Arabidopsis thaliana: one gene and its partners. The protein of the gene in region 2 interacts with the protein of the main gene of each other region in a pairwise test. Each region holds a gene or a part of one and is shown on either strand. Other genes may lie near its edges. The genes, in order: AT2G02060, RR16, NTT and AT5G08720.

What was found.
Region 1: the proteins of RR16 (region 2) and AT2G02060 interact in a two-hybrid assay, tested with the Arabidopsis thaliana proteins (one large-scale study listed by BioGRID).
Region 3: the proteins of RR16 (region 2) and NTT interact in a two-hybrid assay, tested with the Arabidopsis thaliana proteins (one large-scale study listed by BioGRID).
Region 4: the proteins of RR16 (region 2) and AT5G08720 interact in a two-hybrid assay, tested with the Arabidopsis thaliana proteins (one large-scale study listed by BioGRID).

The regions. Positions count from the first base shown.
Region 1 is NC_003071.7:492,767-498,324, forward strand, and holds AT2G02060 (Homeodomain-like superfamily protein), read left to right. Parts: upstream 1-1,978; 5' UTR 1,979-1,994; intron 1,995-2,614; exon of another isoform or gene 2,615-2,909; 5' UTR 2,910-2,924; coding exon 2,925-3,084; intron 3,085-3,278; exon of another isoform or gene 3,279-3,316; intron 3,317-3,502; coding exon 3,503-3,579; intron 3,580-3,685; coding exon 3,686-3,725; intron 3,726-3,998; coding exon 3,999-4,140; intron 4,141-4,265; coding exon 4,266-4,395; intron 4,396-4,621; coding exon 4,622-4,843; 3' UTR 4,844-5,012; downstream 5,013-5,558. Other genes in the region: AT2G02061 (Nucleotide-diphospho-sugar transferase family protein), read left to right, coding at 5,259-5,558.
Region 2 is NC_003071.7:16,968,285-16,971,785, reverse strand, and holds RR16 (response regulator 16), read right to left. Parts: upstream 1,933-3,501; 5' UTR 1,529-1,932; coding exon 1,366-1,528; intron 1,285-1,365; coding exon 1,199-1,284; intron 1,102-1,198; coding exon 1,024-1,101; intron 947-1,023; coding exon 873-946; intron 763-872; coding exon 666-762; 3' UTR 552-665; downstream 1-551. Other genes in the region: AT2G40660 (Nucleic acid-binding, OB-fold-like protein), read right to left, coding at 2,920-3,024, 3,152-3,215, 3,374-3,465. UniProt on the Arabidopsis thaliana protein: Functions as a response regulator involved in His-to-Asp phosphorelay signal transduction system. Phosphorylation of the Asp residue in the receiver domain activates the ability of the protein to promote the transcription of target genes.
Region 3 is NC_003074.8:21,368,751-21,374,134, reverse strand, and holds NTT (C2H2-type zinc finger family protein), read right to left. Parts: upstream 3,379-5,384; 5' UTR 3,200-3,378; coding exon 2,501-3,199; intron 1,467-2,500; coding exon 1,014-1,466; 3' UTR 544-1,013; downstream 1-543. UniProt on the Arabidopsis thaliana protein: Transcriptional regulator required for normal differentiation of the ovary transmitting tract cells and pollen tube growth. In Arabidopsis, the transmitting tract facilitates the transport of pollen tubes to the ovules for fertilization.
Region 4 is NC_003076.8:2,840,857-2,847,274, reverse strand, and holds AT5G08720 (polyketide cyclase/dehydrase/lipid transporter), read left to right. Parts: upstream 1-1,744; 5' UTR 1,745-1,939; coding exon 1,940-2,334; intron 2,335-2,564; coding exon 2,565-2,685; intron 2,686-3,147; coding exon 3,148-3,233; intron 3,234-3,410; coding exon 3,411-3,792; intron 3,793-3,891; coding exon 3,892-3,992; intron 3,993-4,141; coding exon 4,142-4,208; intron 4,209-4,483; coding exon 4,484-4,711; intron 4,712-4,793; coding exon 4,794-5,240; intron 5,241-5,324; coding exon 5,325-5,397; intron 5,398-5,479; coding exon 5,480-5,739; 3' UTR 5,740-5,867; downstream 5,868-6,418. Other genes in the region: ARI16 (IBR domain-containing protein), read left to right, coding at 1-650, 740-1,451.

The DNA of each region.
Region 1 (5,558 bases), about 16 Mb from region 2:
CTTTTCACATAACCATGCAATGTCTATATCTATCCATGTGTACATTGTTGTATATTATATTCTCTGTCTTGTAATTTATATATTAGTTGTGTAATTTTTTTGGTGGCCCAACCATTCCCAAATCAAACTTTTAAACAACTCTCTTTCACTTTTGTTTAATGTTATTTTAGGTGTGAAAAGGCTAATTCTTCTCTGTTCTCTCTAGGTGTTTCATGGATTACACCTTTTATATTACTTTAACCATCTTAGAATTTGCCTTGTTCTTGCATGTGCTATGATTGAATTCAATCAATGGGTGATGAGAAAATTGACCCAATAGAATAATAAATTAACATTGATAATCGTCGAATGGTTCGGTGAGATTTGCACATCCAAATTTTCCACACACAAAAAAGAATGTTATGTTTTTTATAGTCCAAAATCCAGTTGGGTTACATTATCTTACATGTATGTACAAAGTTTTATAATATTAATAAAAAAACAAGCAAAGAGAATTATTGAATGTTTTGATTGTGGTAAAAGCCATGAATCATGGACCTCCACAGTCAATTACTCATTCAATTTCTCTTGGAGCTATTTGTCTCTGCCAGACTCATTTAATGTATTATTTTCATTTGCTTCCACTTTCTCTCATACATGTATTAGTACTAACCATTTTGATTTTTGAGACTTGAACTCTCGGTTAGACATTTTATCCATCCATGCAATTGTGTTTATCGATCAATGATCATCAGTAGGATAATAAAAGGCTTTATTAGTGAATATAGTAAAATTGTTTCACTGATAAAACCTTTTGGAATGTGTTTACTTGATTATTTTGATCAATGATCATAACCTAGGTAGCTTTTTGTATTATTCTTCTAGTCAATATATAGGTAATATAAGCAACTCGTGTGTCTTTGACAAGCTGGTGACTGAATATTATATTTTAATTACCGTCTAATCAAACACTAAACCATTTTTAAAATCGTTAAAGCGAATTTTGGCATATATGCAGAGAATTCCACGTTTTTATAATAATTTAGAGAATGTGCATAAATGAGAAGAAAATGCAAAGCACAATAGGCTACATTTTAAAGGTCAATGACCTCACTTTGTGTGTAGATTTTATTATTTGATTGTTTTTTTCGTTGGGTATAGAAATGTCTGATTTATGTGTGGAATAAAGACGACGACTTTGTTAAATTATAAATTATTAAATTTTGTTCTCTTAATTAATACTCAATCGGCTTTTTCTTATTTTTTTATTATTATGGCTGATACCACGTAAACCACGAGTAAGTATGTAGTACAAATCAATTACTTTCTAATACTACATAAAAATTATATACTAGTACTTAATTTCTTACAAGAAATACATACATCATTTAAAAACAGTATTTGATGTTAATATAAGTAGTTAATAGTAGAATAGCTGATAAAATAACGTGATTTATGTCCACAATTCGTTGATTAAAATATTGAATCCATGGTTGGAAAAAACTGGCGAAATCAGTAATTATTGTCGGCTACCATATAGGGACATGATGGTTTTGGTTCGTCTTCCATGTACACCAAATCAGCAATGAGAAAAAGAAAAATGGGGAAAATAAATAATTCTTGTTATAAATATTATCCTAAGATTTATTATCACTTATTATGGGAGTGAAAAAGAAAACAATAAGAAGGAAAATGAATGGGAAATGGGAGAAAATGTAAAGGAATTAGGGGAATGAAGTCAAAACGGTGGTCCAAAAGACATAACGAAGGACCATTGTAAAATTGTGTGATTTATTTGAAATCAGAAAGTTTAACACGAAACCCTAAAAAAACAAAACAAAAAACAAAAATAGGAATAATAATTATGCTATATGGTCAAAGCTAAGCAGTTGGGCTATTTTCATTTAAATTTATTCGTTTTGGTCTAAAACCTATCGTGAAAAAAGTGAGAAAGTAAAGTTTGAGGTACTGTGGAGGAAACTTCTTCATTTGGGTAAATCCCAAATCCCTATAAGGTAAATATTATGTGTTCTTACAAAATTTGGTTTTTCTATGACAAGTATATTCTTTTGACCAGCTAAGCTAACAAATGTATGTTCAATTGGTTATATATCGATCGGGGCAAGGGTAATACTCGAATCTATGTTCTTTTCATGCAAGTTATGTATGTAGCCTTGTGTAGTTCTCTGGTACGTTGATATGCAATGATTCTCTCGAAAACTATTTAAAAAAATTATTTAAGATAATAATGAATGGGGTCACGAGTCAAGACTAATGTAACCAAAGTCAAATGGATTTTCGTATGATTACTACTTTTGTAACCAAAGTCAAATGGATTTTCGTATGATTACTACAAGCTTGTAGGTCAAAAAACACATGTCACCTCTCTGTTTAGTATAATAAACCAATTTTATAACATCATTCTTTTTATTTGCTAGTTTAATCGTCTAAATAAGTGACCCAACCATAAACCATATCAGATTATGAAATTTTGACTTTACGATAGTTTACGTATCCTCAAATTCCTCACGTATATGTCATGAACAATTCTTAAACAACAAAATTATAACTCTCTTTTAATTAATGTAGTTTTTTCGTAAGAACTCAAATTGATATTTAACAAAAAAAATGAATGAAACATTTCTCAAGTTTTAATAATTATTTTTTGGAATTTTGCAAAACATATATAGAGAGATAATAATAAGTATGAATGAATCCAAAAAGAGACAAAAAGAATAGATGGAAAAAGAGACAGTCATCTTTAAGAAAGAAGCCAAAAACAAAAACTTGCTCTTTTAATCCCAACCCACACACCTCTCAAATCCTCCTCTCCTCGTTTCTCTTTCTCTCCTCTTCACAGAACCAAAACATATCAAACCTTTTTTTCTCTTGGGTTTAAGTAAAAATCGAATCTTTGTGTCGGTTTTTAGGGTTCTTGAAACGATATGGGTAAGTCTAGTGGTAGAAATGGTAACGGAAGCTTTAACGGCAATAAATTTCACGGAGTTAGACCTTACGTACGGTCTCCAGTTCCACGGCTTAGATGGACGCCGGATCTTCACCGTTGTTTCGTTCACGCCGTCGAGATTCTCGGTGGTCAACACCGTAAGTTTATTATACTTTTTTTCTCTTCAAATCTTTTGTGAAAAAAACCAAACTTTTGTGTGTTTGTTTGCTTCAAACATCCTAAAGTTACGATATAACTAGAAAAATTGGACTTTTCTCATTCTTTTGTCTCAATCATCGTAAAAAATCAGTTTTTGAATAAAATCTTCACACTTTTGTTACTTTGTTTCATTCTTATCTTCAAAGTTTGGATTTTTATGCTAAAAAAAAGGTTTGAAGTTTCCTTATTGTGTTGTTTATCTTCATCATCGTAATGAATCATCTTTGTCAAGTTACCGAGTCAAAACCTTCACGCTTTTGTTGTTTTGTTTCATTCATAAAGTTTGAGTTTTTGTTTTTTTTCATAAAGAATCATCATAGTCACCTTTTTGATATTTTGTTGGGTTTGATGAAACAGGAGCAACACCAAAACTTGTTCTTAAGATGATGGATGTGAAGGGACTTACCATTTCACATGTCAAAAGCCACCTTCAGGTAAATAGTAATTAATTTTACCAAAAACATCAATTTTGTTTTCTTCTTTATTCATATTTCATTCATAACACCTTGTTTTGATTGTTTTGAACATATATATAAACAGATGTATAGAGGAGGTTCAAAGCTCACTTTGGAGAAACCAGGTATTATTTTTTTCCTTATAATTATGAAATGAATCAATGATGATATTTGGAAAAAGAATGGGACCGTTGATTTTAATTTGAACTGTTAACATCAAACACATAATAATGGATGGAATTTAATTATTTTACTGTATCTGTTTGTAGTATGTACTATTGGTCTAGTGTCATGATTCATAAGACAAATGTCATAAATACATTTATATATTTTTCAAGAGTAATAGAACAGAAAATAAGAGAATATTCATTAACTAGTTTTTATTGTTTCTTACACAGAAGAAAGCTCATCATCTTCAATAAGAAGAAGACAAGACAGTGAAGAAGATTATTATCTTCATGACAACTTGTCTTTACACACAAGGAATGATTGTCTTTTGGGTTTTCACTCTTTTCCTCTTTCTTCACATTCTTCATTTAGGTATTTATTTTTATTTATAATTGTTTTCTGACAAAGTTTTTTAATTTTATTTCAGTAAAAAAAAAAAAAAAGTGTTTTGCTTTTTTGTTTGTCTGTATTTGAATTGTCCTTTTACTTTGGTGCAGAGGAGGAGGAGGAGGAAGAACAAAAGAGCAGCAGACTTCAGAGTCTGGTGGTTATGATGATGATGCTGACTTTCTTCACATCAAGAAGATGAACGATACGACGACGTTTTTGTCACATCATTTCCCCAAGGTATAAATAAATTTCTCTTTTGTCAACCGGTTTGGAAATTTAATGTTGCAAAACAAAATCAAGTCCGGTTATGAGTTCTAACCGGTCTGATTGAGACTGGTCAAATCCAAAGGGATTGAGTCCGGTTTAAGTACTACTTGTCATTGAATCTAATTAGTTTCATATAAATGGCATTTAACCGGTTTTAGTCCGGTTTGGTAACTAATTTTGTCTTTTGGTTCATTAGGGAACAGAGGAGTGGCGGGAACAAGAACACGAAGAAGAAGAAGAAGATTTGTCGTTGTCTCTGTCGTTAAATCATCATCATTGGAGAAGCAATGGATCATCGGTGGTGAGCGAAACGAGTGAAGCAGCAGTCTCGACTTGTTCAGCACCATTCGTATCCAAAGATTGCTTTGGTTCTTCAAAGATTGATCTTAATCTGTCAATTTCTCTCCTCGGTAGCTAAATAAGTTATGCAAGATTTAGGTTCAGAGAAACTATTCGGATGTGTTTTTGAAACTAGGATATTGAATGTTAGTAGAGAAACCTAGAAAATGAAGTTTAGATAAATTATCAACGCAGCGTTTTGATCGCCTTTGAACGGAAAATTAACAAACAGAGCCAAACGCAGTGTTTTGATCTTTGAAGGATAACCCCTAAACGCAGCGTTTCTATATCAAGATCCTACGGTTTAGAATGTTCATTGTTATTTTGGTCGGCAATCCTACGGTAGAAAAAATAATCTCGCAGATAAAACCCATTAAACGCTGCGTTTCATCGTTGGAGGGTAAACTCATTAAACGCCGCGTTTTACATTCAAAAAACTTGAAACTACCTTATAACCGCCCAGACGATGACCAACGTCGTCAACGTCGGCGAAGATGAATCTATCGAACCGTTTTGGCTCCAATTCCAAGACGGCGATACTCAACGATTCTTACTCCGACGAGAATCATTCTTCCTCCGCCGCCGCCGCCGTAACTTCCGTCGTAATCCCACCGTGCTCCGGCAATGTACTCCGAGCCGTTCTCTTGCTCTTCTTCATCTGCTTCTGCTTCTCCCTCTACAGAACTTCTGGTTATCTCCGAATCGTCTCTGACTCTTCCTCCACCCTCTCTCGCATTTTCCCCTCTGTCAACGATTCTTCTTCGTCTCCGTCTCCATCTCCGTCTCTGTCTCCG
Region 2 (3,501 bases):
TTCGACTCTCTCTCTCTGTCTCTCGGAGAAGAAAGAGATTCATCATCTTCTCTCACCATTAATCTTCCTTGCCAAAGATTTTCGAGCCCATTCATAAGATTCCGGTGAATTTTCCGAGGTAAGAGAAGAAAAACAGGATTGTACTCTTATATGAATCTCATCGTGATTCAGTTAAGATCCTTTGCTCTTTTTTTTCTCTCGTATTAATTTTTTCTGTTCTAAATTGAAATTCTAGACCTTTCTTGCTGCACAAGATTCTTACTCTTCTTTTCACGCAGAAACGATGTCAATATTGTGCAACAATGGCCGCAAAAGAGATAAGAGAAGAGGAAGAAGAAAAGAGAAAGAAACAACGATAGAAGAGACTCATCAATGTTGTTGTTGTTGCGTGTGGCCTCCATTTTCAATGGTTAGAGGAATAAAGAGATGTTTCTTCCTCTCATGTTATCCATTTATTCGATGTTTAGGATTGGAAGAGAGAAGACATCGTCATCATCTTCATCACCACAACCACTTTTTATGATTCCTTTTGTGTATAAAGATTACTATAGGGCATGTGAAAACATTTCTTGATTTCAAGAAAAACATGTAAAATAATCAAATAAGGAATCAAGACACAATGAAAACGTTTCATGGTTAGGGCTAACATTATAAATCTCTCATGGTTAGCTTCTGCAGTTCATGAGATGACATTTAAGCTTCTCAACATCAGCAAGCTTCAAAGGCTTCTGCATAAACATTTGAGCTCCACTCGCTAAACATCTGCTTTCAAAAGACCAAAACAGAACATTAAGATTGATGATCTTTACTAATTACTTACACTATAAGAAACACAGAAACAAGTTCTTAATCTGATCTCAATTTGTTCTTACTTGTTTATGCGAGTAGGAATATTCTCTGAAGACATTATCACAACAGGAACCTCTCTCAGATTTGATGACTCCTGCTAAAGAAACACACAGAAGATTTTTAGGTTAATATAAATCTCTGGATATTGGTTCCAAGAAGCTGTTATATAATTACCTTCACTTTCTTGAGTAGCTCAAAACCTGTCATTCCAGGCATACAGTAATCGGTGATGATTAGACTCACCTTCATAACCTAGAAAATCCACACATATATAAACCTAATATCAAATATGTCCTAAGGAAAAAAATCCATAGATCTTGAAGATTTTATATGTTTTTTTTTTGCTTACGTTACAGGTCAATGCATCAATATGCTGATTTTGATCTCCCAAACCCAAATACTCCAATGCTCTAAGCGCATTCTCTGCTGTTGTCACTGCAAAAATTCACATTTTAGAGACAAAGATTGCATAAAGTAATGATTGATTATAAAACATGAAAGGTAAAATGATTGAACCTTTGCAACAAGAGATCTTGAGCAACCTCTCAACGAGTTTACGGTCAATAAGATTATCATCTACAGCTAAAACATGAAGCTCTTCATCATGACCATGATGAAGATGATGATCATAAGCCACCACATCCATTAAAGACGAACAAGAACCTCCTGAACTGTTCATGATCTCCTTTGTTCCTTAAATGTCAAGTAACTGATAAAGAAAACAACTTGATAATAAGCGAGACTGACTCTAGCATTAATATAAAGACCTTGCAGACATTGCTTTTAGTTCTCCATCTTCAACAAAAATAAATCAAAAAGACAAAACACAAACAATGAAGAAGAAAGTGACAGACTCAGAAGTGTGTATGCATGAATCATGTGAATCTCTGGTGATGGTATTTATGATGGTTTCTTTGATTTTTTAGGTGGGTGAAGAATTTTCCATTATGATTTCCCAACTATATATAATTCTGCAGAATAATTTTTAAAAGTAAATAAAAACAGAGAGCAATGGGGAAGAGATTGCATCAAAGAATATCACGGATATTTCGTGATCTCTTATTTTTAGGGGTTTTAGTTTCAGTACCAGTCGTTATAGATTTAAAGTTGCATATACTTGTCTTTTTGTATTGTGTTACTTGTTAGGACATGTTCTTCGAATCGTGTGGGGTTTCTTTTTTTCTTTTCTTTTGGACCACTTTAAAATTAAAAAATTGTAGTAGATTCATAGAACTGAAAATATGATATGAAAAAGATTTATTCGGTAACAATCTGATATGATTTGAAGAAAAATCGTATAATAAAAGCCAAAGAACCTCAAAAAAGATCATAATTGTTTTTTGGGACAAGAATAAAGATTTTGTGTGTGTTTAATATAAGAAAGAAGTTGTGTGTTTTGGAGGACTGATTCTTTGTGAAACTAAATAAAGAAACATATGTGTCCGGTGACAGTCGTACGGATCTGTTTCAGGATCTTGTAAGCTGATAAGATAATTCTTTAGATATCAACTTTTTCATTATTATTTTTCGGGTTCAAATCCTTGGAATAAATGGAAACAGGTAATGACTTTTTGTCACAAATGGACCACCAATCTCTTTTAGAGATCCCCATGGGCCAGGTCTAAGATTCTTTATCATCCTTCCTTGTAAGATCATCTACGTCGAATCAAAACAAAAGGAGGTTGTTTCTTCTAATTGAAGTAATTTGCAAGTTTATTTGAACACAATTGGTTTGATAGTTCAATCCAGAGTGAATGGCTTGGTTTATCTGATTGAAAAAACCCCATAAGTAGCTAAGTGGATATTTGTAGGTAATACGTTGCAATCCAATGGTGGACTTGCACAGCTTGAACGAAAGGAGTGAACAAAGAAAATGGAACTAAGTATCTAGTAGCAGAGAGTTCTCAAAAGGGAAATTGAAACAATGATGTTTGTCAAAAAGCTAATAAGAAGAAAGTTTTTAGATTAATTCGAATTGTGACAAAAAGAACATCTTTTCTTTTTCCAACTGAGTTTGCGAATATCAAAGAAAAACGCTAGAGTAGAGGAGAGAAGTATCAACTGAGTTTACTACTTGATGGTCGCCTTGGGGATGCTGGAAGTGCAAGGTCCAGCCGAGGTCATGAATTGTATGCCTTTGTATGTGGCTACGCCATTTTCATCAGTGTAGAGACCCTGCAAATGCATGTGATTAACCGAAGTCCTCGTGAGATTGAATGTTTACGTATAATAATGCAAACACAGTACTCGCATCTTCGGTTTGTTTAAGTCTGGAACCTAATAAAGGGCAAAAAACACATACCGGTGTTATCTTCTCTAGTTGCTTCTTTTTTGGGTTCAGTACATCTTCTGGCTTTCCTTCAATCCTATATAAACATTTCGATAAAGGGTTCTTGAGTTTGAGATAAACAAGAACAACAATAAAATAAAAAGAAAAGAGCATATATGAGTTTAATGGCTGGAGGGGAAACATGTAAATAAAGCAATCAAAGAGGTTCGATGTTATATTGTTAAAACTATGTACCCTGAAAATGAAACACGCTCTCCTGGTTTAGCACCAGCAGGTGGTAGCAACGGCTCTACCACCGAGTGATCTTCACTTGAAGCACAAAGAACCTGCAGCAAAGAAATCAAAAACACAGAAAATGAGCA
Region 3 (5,384 bases), on a different chromosome or scaffold from region 2:
GCAAACGATACAAACAAAAACTGAAGTGTTTCAACTGTTGATTATGTATTAGATCAAGCAACATATACATAAACTAAAAAAAGAAAGAGAAACGGACGAGAGTAGCTTTTAAACTAATTGCTATGAATTGGTAGATATGACAATAACTAGCATCGGCATTTTGATTTGTTTTCTCACATTCGGATGAGTTCGTGAGAATCAAGAATTGTTCAGTTGAATGATATTTTTTGGTAAATTATGTACTAAAGATTTGAATTATTTTAATTTAATTTTACATGCGTTGATAAAATATAAACCAAAACACATCTATAATTATTTATGTATTGTTATATTCTCAAAACATATGGGATGCGTATCATCATCACATTATGTATAATTTGGTATTCGATCTTCCTAATAAAGTTCTGCACTTGAGTACGTAGCAATATTCTCTAGTGTCCATTCTCTCATTATTTTCCATGATGTCACTAGACAATTAAGTATCACAAGTATTCTTATAAAATAAAACCAACGATAACTCCACCAGAAAACAAATATCTGTTGGAATAAAAAAAAAACTAGAATCTATTATTACTCAAATTGAAATTTGGAAATATTCATTTTGATCTAGAATATGGTATATTAAGAGAAAATTCTTATGCATGAATGTATAGCATCTACTTTTCTTGTCTTTTAGTATCCTAACAAACATAATTTAAACATTTATAAGTTATGTCCTTCGAATTAACGAAAGGTGAAGCTAATGACAAAATAATATACAAATAGAAATAAACCGTTGGGAACCTCATTGGTTAGACTGCTACATTGTCTTGCAATAAATTTAACTAGGAAGCTAAAGATACAATTTAAAATTTTCCAAGTGCTCTTGATTCATTTTTTTCCTATGATCAATTAGATGATATAGCTTTTAGTTTGAAAAGCCCTACCTCCATCAAAACTTGGTCCATAGATTTAGGTTTCTTATAATTAATATATATACCGAATTACTTAGTACTTATAGTAATATATATAAGCTATTTAGACTGCATTGACTCATGATCATTGTCTAATTGTTCTACCTCAGAGGCAGGCTCATCTTCTTCATCAAACCCATCAATTCCGTAGGCTCCATGACCATTCCCAAAAGCCTTGATGTGATCTTTGAGAGATCTCTTGTGCTTGAAATCAGATCCACATATGCAATACCAAAGTTTGCCACAATTCTTCTCATGTGTTCTCCAGTCCCCTCGGACTGCGAAAGCCTTTCCACATTTCCTACACATGAAAGGTTTGATCCCATGTTTTCTCTTGTAATGTGTTTGAAGGGTTCTGAAGTCTTTGAGAGGCTTTGCCCTTGGATGGTCAATGTTGTTGCGACAGCCTGGGGCGCAGCAATAGCACGGAAGCCTTAGCATTCCTGTTGGTTGTGTTCCCCTTAGAGATTCAGGTCCTTTTCTGTATTGTGATCCATGTCCCCACATATGCATCTGTAAACAAAATCATGCATGTATATATGATCATCATGTAGGGTTTGGATAACTTATAGTATATGTTCGAAAAGTTCTAAAAGTGTGAGTCTTGAAACTTTAGCTTATGATATGTGCATTAGCAGTTTTAATAACATGTGTCTTCTATAAGATGTAATGATTACTCTAGCCAGCATACATAGATTATCAATGTTATGATGATTATTCTAACCAGCAGACGCAACTTAATTAGCAGATCAACCTTGAAGCATATGTAAAAAGACAATAAGATGTCAAACAAATGCTGAAATGTAATCAAAATTATAGAAACGAATTTCATAAAAAAAAAAAATATATATATATATATAATAATAATAATAATAATAATAATAAGATATGTCAATGCATGCTTAGGTTAACAAATTAACTAAGCAAAACTTAAAAAGAAAAAGATGCTTAGTTTATGTTCAGTACAAAATCTTATCAAGCTCATATATGTAGCAAACAAATGAAGCCTTATATGTATCTATGTATATTAATTGAAATATGGGTCTGTGAAATCGTATCAGTACTGTTATTTTACACGTTAGACATTTGAAGACTCTCATACAAAAAAAGGGTGACACACTTGCCAATATTGTAGTGAAAAGCAGCAAACCACAGAGACTCTGAAAGTACTAAAGACATAAAGAACATTTACTGTCTTGTTAAATCTCAGTCTCAGACTTCACAGTCTCAAGTCTCTCGGTTCTTTGTAATGCAATGATTTATTCATGCATCAGTGAGCAAAGACACGTCCTCTGATTGATTTGAAAACAGTATGTATTTATATATATTTATTTACCGATTTAAGGTGAAAACGTTTTTGTTTTTTTTCGAGGAAATTTAGTGAGCAAACCTATTTTCTTTGGTTTTTACCTTTTGGGTTTACTCGGAATAATGAAGGGAAAAAAGAAGTCGATTTACATGGAAAAGAAAACGAAATTCTTCAAAAAGTAATGCGTATTGAGATATGTTAAAGATTTAGATTAATGAGAGTGTGATTAATTAAGAACCTGCATGTTATTGTATCTGTTGAAGGTTTTGAAGCAAACAGGACATGAGAACTGAGTAGGGCCAATGAGAATCTGAGAAGGTGTAGGGATCCAATATTGACCCTTGTTGAGTCTGCTGATTCTACAGCCGCCGTCTCCGCCGACTGAATCTTCATCGTCATCTTCTCCTCCTCCGACAGCTCCGTGGCTGTACTCATGGTCGAGGTCTTTCTTGTGATTCATGTCCTCGTGATGATGAGTGGTCCTCGAGGAAGAGGAAGAAGAAGACATCATGAGCAAAGAGGCCATCTCTTGAGCACTAGGGCTTGGAAGGCCTATGTGAAGAGCAACGGTGACGTCATGGTCATCGTCATCGAGGTTATGATGATCATCTTGATGGTGATGATCGTAGTCGACATCCATGGAGGTTGAAGGTGGTTCTTGAATAAGGTGGTCATGGTTGTGATGGTGGTCTTGTTGTTTGTTGGCGGGGCTGAGGCTGAGGAGAGGGAGGGCTTCTCGGAGAGGAGGAGAAGGAGGAGGAGTTGGTGGCGGCGGTGGACGGCGGAGGTCTCCGGATTGAGGGAAGAAGAAGAAGGAAGAGGGAGGAGTAACAGGAGGAAGAGGATGAGGAGAGGGGTTAGTGGAGGAATTAGGGTAATGGTGAAAAGGATTAGACTTGAACCAGTCTGTGAAGAAATTGGAATAAGGATCAGTCATGGTGAAGAGAGAGAGAGAGGAAGAGAAAGGAATAGTTTTAAGACTTGTGGGATTATCTTTATACAAGAGACATAGATGGGAGATGAAGATGGAGATGGAGAGATTGTGATGGGATGGGAGAGAGAGAGAGCTTTTTTTTTGGGTTGCAAAGAGAGATTTTCTTTGGGTGCAAGAGAAAAAGAGAGAGAAAGATTATTAATTATGGACTGAAAACTAAAAACTGACTTTAACGAAAAAAAAAAAAAAAAGGAACTAAAGAAGCAGGTCAAATACGAATGTGTATTAGTCTACGCAAAGTAATTATTTCATTCAGATATGTAGGTCCTTATTCTTTATAAAAAAAATAAAACGATGGTTAAGAAATAACCAGTGCGGTTAAGACTGTTTACGATGTTTTGAAGATAACATTTATAGATTAGGCAGTAAGCATTAGAAATTCAGATAGTAGATTTTTTTTTTTTATTGGTGATTTGTTTTTGTTAAGAATATAGAATTAAAATAATTTTTTAATCAATTTAAAAGGTTTTCAAAATCTTATAAGTTGTTATAATTATAAACTACAAATCACGTTCTTTAATTTTCTTACTATTATAAGATGTCTTAATTTTCGGACGACATCATAGTCTCATAATTCGTGTGACTGAGAGTTTCTACGTATGATCATGGTAAGTAAACACAGCGTCTGAACCTGCACATCAGAACTATATAACATATTACTTCATTGTATTTTTAAAAACCGTACAAAGATCTAACTTTGGATCCTTATTCAATTTGTGTATCTCTTATACCTGGATCTTATAAGGAAAAAGAATGCAAAACCATTGAATGATGTGAATAATTGTTGTTCGTATGTTCAAGTCTGAATTCACTTAGTTTATTGTCAGACTATGGTCGTTGAAAAAGAGAGAGTAAAACTATGCTTGAATATGACGATTTTTTCATGGTGATTGTTTTACTAATTAAACGAATTAAAGTAAATCTACAAAAGGGGCTCTAATTATATGTATTATCTAATTTGATTAACATTATCAGATTACGTAAGGCTTAATAGCACAGGAACTTGTATTAACATATTTAAATCATAAAAGTCCTTAAATATTCCACATCTGTGGATTATGTACTTAATTAAAAGCATTAGTGGATGCCATTTCATACAAGTAGGTCAAAATGTAATAAAGATGATAATAATAGACATTGAGGATTAGGGCTCGCTTGAAGAGTATACATACATACGCTAAAATACCAAAGACAATAATCTTATAGCCAATATGACAAAACAAAAAGCTATTCGAGTTCGACCTATATTGGCTCCACGGAAAAATTGGAATTTATTTATTTATATTCACTATGAGTGAAACAGGATTAATATATAAAAAGGAACATATTTGACAAAAAAATAAAATAAAAAAATACATAAAGCATATGAGGTTCAGATACATCATACAAAGATAATGTCACTGCTTTTTGGAGATGGCTCTCATCCCAATTCCCAAACAAATTTTCTTATCTTAAAAGCCTTTCCTCAAAAAAAGAAAAAAAGAAGCCATATCTTATCAGTTTGAGACTTAAAAATAGTTTTGAAACAGGGTAAATTTGAAAAATAATGTAACTGTCTAAATACCGATGGACAAATTAATTAAATAAAATTGTGGCGTCATTCCCGACTCATGAGCTAATTAAAAAAAAATAGCATAAATTAGGACACAATTCTGATTTTACAATTTTTGTGTTTGTAGTTTAGAAAAGAAATAAATATCAGTAAAATCTACTCCTATGACCTAGTTTCAAAAATATATAGACAAGAAGAAGGTTAGATAAATAATATCTTTCTAGGTTTAGAAGGACAATATTTCAAAGTTTGTGAGTAGTTTTGAAGTATTATCCCATATTTATGCTAGGTTAGATTCATTTTAGGATATAGATTCACATATAATGGATTTCTTCCTCATAAAATTTTAACTATAAAATAAACAAAAATAAATAAATTGAAAACACACATATGGGAATTCAATAATTAATAAATTTGGTAATCAAGTACGAGGACCCGAGAGAAAACTGGAATGTATGTATTCGTAAAAGTTTTGGGGGGTTTTGATTTTCTATTATTGACATGAATTATTAATTCGATGAACCAAATTATGTAGTTTTGCTTATGTTAATTGTTTATTTATTTTATGAGTTTTAA
Region 4 (6,418 bases), on a different chromosome or scaffold from region 2:
AACTCGTTTAAGGCTTCAGATCTTCTTGGTGACAACAAGGAGAAGTTTCTGGCGAAGTTAGGGTTGGCTCGAGTTCTCAATTCCAACTCTTCTTCAGCTGATCGTGAGACGGGTGATGGAGATTACTTAGTCTCCACGCCCTTTTGCTCACACAAGTTTTCAACAACTTGCTGGAGTGAATATCTCAGCGATGCTCTGAAGAAGAACAAGGAGCAGAGAGGACTCATCTCTTGCCTTAGCCAAGACTGTGTCGCCTCTGTTGGACCCGATACGATCGAGCAACTCACAGAGCCAGTGAAGGAGATGTACGAGAATTATATTCTCGAATCCTTCATGGAGTGCCACAAGGCAACGATCAAATGGTGTCCTGCTTCGGGTTGTGAATACGCCGTCGAGCTTCAGGAGGATGGTAATGAAGATAATGTCATCAGTGTGGTCTGTTTGTGCGGCCATACCTTCTGTTGGACATGCGGGCTCGAGTCACACCGTCCGGTGTCTTGCAAAAAGGCATCAATTTGGTGGACGTACCTGTTGGATCAGTCAAGAAGCATTTCTTGGATCCATACAAACACCAAAAGTTGTCCCAAGTGCAAGATTCCTGTGCAGCAGAATGGTGATCCTAATTACAGACTCATTAATTGTATCTGCAGGTTTGTTTCTTTCTGAGCTTTAAAACATGTGCAAAATATTATATCTTTAAACTCATTACTATGTTTTCTTGACTGTTATGCATCATCAGTAATAACTTCTGTTGGATCTGCTTGCGCACGGAGGAACAGCATCAGGGGAACTGGAATTGTTCTCCAGTCGCTGTTCCAGCTGCGGGTCCTTCTACCGTTGAATTCTCACAGATTCTCCACCTGAATCTGTGGGAGGCAGGTCATGAAGCATTGAAGAAGGCTAAGTCCAAGCTGAGAGCCTTAGAGGAAAAAATCATTCCGAAACTGATCGAGAACTGCGGAGCGACCGAGCTGGACATTAGGACAGTAAGAGAAGCAGGGATGCTTAGTGTTCAGTGCAGGCAGGTACTGAAATGGAGTTGCGTATTTGATTACTCTATAATCGAGTACGAAAGCACGAAGAAGCAGTACCTGAAACACCTCCGAGCTCTGGCGAGCACAATGCTTTGTATGCACGAAGGGAAGCTTGATGAGTTGATACATCTAGCCCTCTCACCTGAAGATTTCACTAACTATAAGCACAAGTTGGAAATCAGTACAACATGCACTGGTAACCACTTCGATGGATTCATCAAGGAACTGGAAGATGGTAAGCCTGAAGTGAAGGCTGATGGTTACGAGAATGAACCAGGCAGTCGCTGGTTCTGTGATAGGTGCACGTTTGAGAACAGCTGGGTTGATAAACAGTGCAAGATGTGCTTTTTCCCCCTGGACTATCATCCTTCTCCTCAAGTGGCAGCAGCTCCTGAAGACCTTGGAAAATCGGAGTGAGAGTGAGTGATGAGTAAAGGATAAGTCTCATCAGTGATTGATGCTGGTTTCGTTTGGTGTTTTAGCTTCTCTTGTGTTGTTTTGTGTTTAAGAGTCTCCTTTGTTTCTCTTTCTCCTCTCTGTGTTGGATCATCATCCATCATATTGGTTTAAGAGTCTTGTTGCATTTGTCTTCTAAGTCTTTGTTGTTGTTGTTGTTGTTGTTGTTGTTGTTGTTGTTGTTTGTTGGTGTTTATGTTTGTGTTTCCTTGTTATAATATTTTTTGTAACATGAAAATGCAAATACAAAACTTCAGAGGAACAATAAAGTTTAAATCATGGTTTCGAATATAATGTCTATTGAAGAACAAAAGGTGAATTTCAACCATACATCAAATATATAAAATAAGAAAAAATCCGGTGGCTGAGAATATTTAACGGTAATGTAACACTCTGCAACAGTATCTTCTTCCTCTACACTGACACATTTCGTCGAACACCTTTCGCTAATGTCAGTGAGCAAGTTTCCACATCTCTCTCATGGCGTTCACACTATCAATTTCCTCAATGAACCAGTGTTTTTAAGTGTGTTGCTCCCATCTCCCTCTCGGATTCGAGTATTCTCGTCCATTTCCACCTCCGGGATCGGCGGCGGGGTCGCCAAGTGCCATGGAACGAGACATAGCGGCGCCGGTGGTAGAGGTGATAACGGGTTGAGGAGAGATAGTGGATTAGGTTTCGACGAGAGAGGAGAGAGAAAAGTGCGTTGTGAGGTTGATGTGATCTCGTGGAGAGAACGGAGGATAAGAGGCGAAATCTGGGTCGATTCTGATTCTCAATCTGTTTGGAATGTTCTTACTGATTATGAACGACTTGCTGATTTCATACCCAATCTCGTTTGGAGGTACTTCCCTCAGTAATACCCACTTTTTTCTTTCAGATTCTTATCATTTTGTTTGTGTTTATCTACAGAATTCTTCTGAATAATCTCTAAAGATTCAATTTTTATGTTATCTGGTTCATGCCATTGAAATTGTTTATACTGAATACAATGACTATACGTCTCCAAGAGAATGCTGAATCTCCATGCTTAGTTACCTCTCTTTGTTGATGGTATATTGTTTCAACTTGTAGTGGAAGAATTCCTTGTCCACATCCAGGACGTATATGGCTGGAGCAACGAGGCCTTCAAAGAGCCTTGTATTGGCATATTGAGGCTCGTGTTGTCCTTGATCTCCATGAGTGTCTAGATTCTGTGAGCACTCTTAAGCCTTTACTTTTCTCTTGCTGAATGATTGGGATTGAGTCTAAAACCTGCAAACTCTTCCGGATTCTGTGGTCTCTTTTTTTATGCATATCTTAGCTTTTGTTAAGAATCAAGAGGTTTCCTTTACACTGGATGATCTGTAATCATGGTTGATAAGGAGTTGCCTGCTTCCCACTTTCTCTAGATCCTTATTCCTAACCTCTTATTAGTTCTAGAAAAAACAATCATAGTGAGGTTTACTCTTGAAAATATCCATGGTTCTAATGAGTTCTCTTTCAGCCTGCTTTGCACTCATTGCATTGGTTACTTAGGGTACAACAAGATGTTATTTGTAACAAGTAGTTTTGTTGTTTGGTTAATTAGTTAATCTTTACTCTTGAGTTCTTATATTACATTTGTTTCTCAATCCATACATCTCTATTAATGTAGTTTTTCCTATTATCTTATTAGCCAAATGGTCGTGAGCTTCACTTCTCTATGGTAGATGGTGATTTCAAAAAGTTTGAGGGAAAGTGGTCTGTGAAATCTGGTATCAGGTACACTCATTAATCCCCGTAAGAAGTTTGTGTGCTCATCCTATCATCATTTAAATTAAATCCTCTATAAATGTGTATCAGAGAAATTCTTTCTGTAAACAGTCTGTTATGCATTTCTAACCACGGATCATTTTGGAACCATCTATGTTCCAAACATTTGTTTTTCTCTTTCTCCAGGTCCGTAGGAACTGTCTTGTCATACGAAGTAAACGTAATCCCAAGATTTAACTTCCCTGCCATTTTCTTAGAGAGGATAATCAGATCAGATCTTCCTGTAAATCTCCGGGCCGTAGCTCGCCAAGCTGAGAAAATTTATAAAGATTGCGGAAAGCCGTCAATAATAGAAGATTTGTTGGGTATAATATCTTCACAGCCAGCCCCTTCTAATGGTATTGAGTTCGATAGTCTTGCTACGGAGAGATCTGTTGCCTCCAGTGTTGGATCATTAGCTCATTCAAATGAATTGAACAACAATTGGGGAGTGTATGGAAAAGCCTGCAAGCTTGATAAACCTTGCACCGTGGATGAAGTTCATCTTCGTAGATTTGATGGTCTATTGGTAAGTAGTTTGGCTCAAAACTTACTCTATATACTATGAAAAAAAAAAGTTTTCCCATCTTTTGTGTTTATGAGTCAGTGGTTTTTTTCTTGGATGAAGGAAAATGGAGGTGTTCACCGATGCGCCGTTGCTAGTATAACAGTTAAAGCTCCTGTTTGTGAAGTTTGGAAAGTTCTAACGTCTTATGAGAGTCTTCCAGAGTAAGTACCGAACACATATATTTATCATATCCGGGCTTCACTGTTCTGACCTTAAGGAGGATTTTCTTGTCAATCTTCTTCAAATATTTGTTGTGTTGGCTTATATATATCTCTTGTTCTTCTGCGTTTATTGTTCATGAACCTATCAGGATAGTTCCAAATTTGGCAATCAGCAAGATTTTGTCACGCGATAACAATAAAGTCCGAATACTTCAGGTATGAGCATTCTCATCCACGGTTACCTTGTAATCAAATTTGGCAAGGACTAGAAGGAATCATTCTACAAGTACTTGTATTGGGTACTAACACTGGAAAAATCTGAAGAGAGAATTTGGTTGCCAAAATATGACTCATAATTTGCTCTTTCATGATTCAGAAAGGCTCTGTATTTAGTCTGGTCTTGAAGATCAAAATTCTGATACTGGCCAAAGCCAATGTTTCTTTTCTTGATTTCAAGAAATTATATAACTAAAACTGAATTCTGTTTTCAGGAAGGATGCAAAGGCCTGCTTTACATGGTGCTTCATGCAAGAGCTGTTCTCGATTTGCATGAGATTCGTGAGCAGGAAATCAGATTTGAACAGGTTGAAGGAGACTTTGACTCGCTAGAGGGGAAATGGATTTTTGAACAACTAGGAAGTCACCACACACTTCTCAAGTATACCGTGGAGTCCAAAATGAGAAAAGATTCATTTCTTTCTGAAGCAATCATGGAAGAGGTTTGGCTTACAATTGACTGAGTTCAGTGCAATCTTTTTTTTTTCTTATTGGAACCACAATGTTTTCTCTGAATCTTTTCAGGTTATATATGAAGATCTTCCGTCAAATTTATGCGCTATCCGGGATTACATTGAGAAAAGAGGAGAGAAATCTTCAGAGTCATGTAAACTGGAGACATGTCAAGTTTCAGAGGAAACATGTTCTTCATCTCGTGCCAAATCAGTTGAGACAGTTTACAATAATGATGATGGTTCAGACCAAACTAAGCAGAGACGGAGGATTCCTGGTCTACAAAGAGACATTGAAGTCTTGAAATCAGAAATTCTCAAGTTCATATCAGAACATGGACAAGAAGGATTCATGCCCATGAGGAAGCAGCTTCGGTTACATGGAAGAGTTGACATTGAAAAAGCCATTACAAGAATGGGTGGATTTAGGAGAATAGCTTTGATGATGAATCTTTCACTTGCTTATAAACACCGAAAACCGAAAGGATATTGGGACAATCTCGAAAACTTGCAAGAGGAGGTAAAGTTTCTAGACATGTTCAAAAATTAAAACCACTGTTGCCATGGTGTTTACAAGAGCTTCTCCCTCTGCATGTGGTTGCAGATAGGAAGATTTCAACAGAGTTGGGGAATGGATCCATCATTTATGCCGAGCAGAAAATCTTTCGAACGAGCAGGTACAAACAGTAAACTCAATTTAAGCTCTGTGTGTTCTTCTCAATCGGATTGGTCTGAGAAACATTTGGTCTGTTGTTTCAGGTCGTTATGACATTGCTCGGGCGCTCGAGAAATGGGGAGGATTACACGAAGTATCTCGTCTTTTAGCATTGAACGTGAGACATCCAAACAGGCAGCTAAATTCTCGTAAAGACAACGGTAACACGATACTGAGAACTGAATCTACTGAGGCCGATTTAAATTCAACGGTTAATAAGAATAATAAACCTTACGTCTCTCAAGATACCGAGAAATGGTTGTACAATCTTAAAGATCTTGATATCAATTGGGTTCAATATTGAAGCATTAATTATGTACATTTCACTATTTGTGTAGTCTTGTAACTCGCAAAGATAAACATGTATTTATGTAAATTGTAACATTGGATTGAAATTATCTGATCTCTTTTTAATGTTTCATCTGTTTTTAGTGTTTATATTTCACTTTGATAAAATAGAGTGAGAGAGCACCGAACAATAAGGAGGATAATAGCAAGGAACAAAGAAGTAAAGGTAAGTCAATGAAATTTGATAGTGATGGTTTTAAGAAAAAACGAAAGTCCCATCATTGTCTTCCTTCAATGTGAAATGAAGTTACACGTAATTAGAAACAAACTTCTTTCTAGGTTTTAGATTATTACAGAACCAAGTCTCAGAGGTCTTGACTCGTGACTGAAGAGAAAGGGTCAAGATATTTGGATGTGAATTGTGATGTGAAAAAGGAAAAAAAATCGAGATTTTAAAAGGGAAAATCAATAGAAAATATAAAATGCATGCATAAATCTAGAAATGATAGGTGTTTAACATTGAAGGCAAACTATGAGACAATCTTGAATCTTACTACTTTATACAATAGCTCTATATGTTATGACTTATAATAATTGGGACCTTCCTCGAGATTTAGACAGACCCTCTAACAGCTGAGAAACATGCATGTAAACAACATTTTTCTTTTTGATATAGATTAATCAGGAGAAATGAT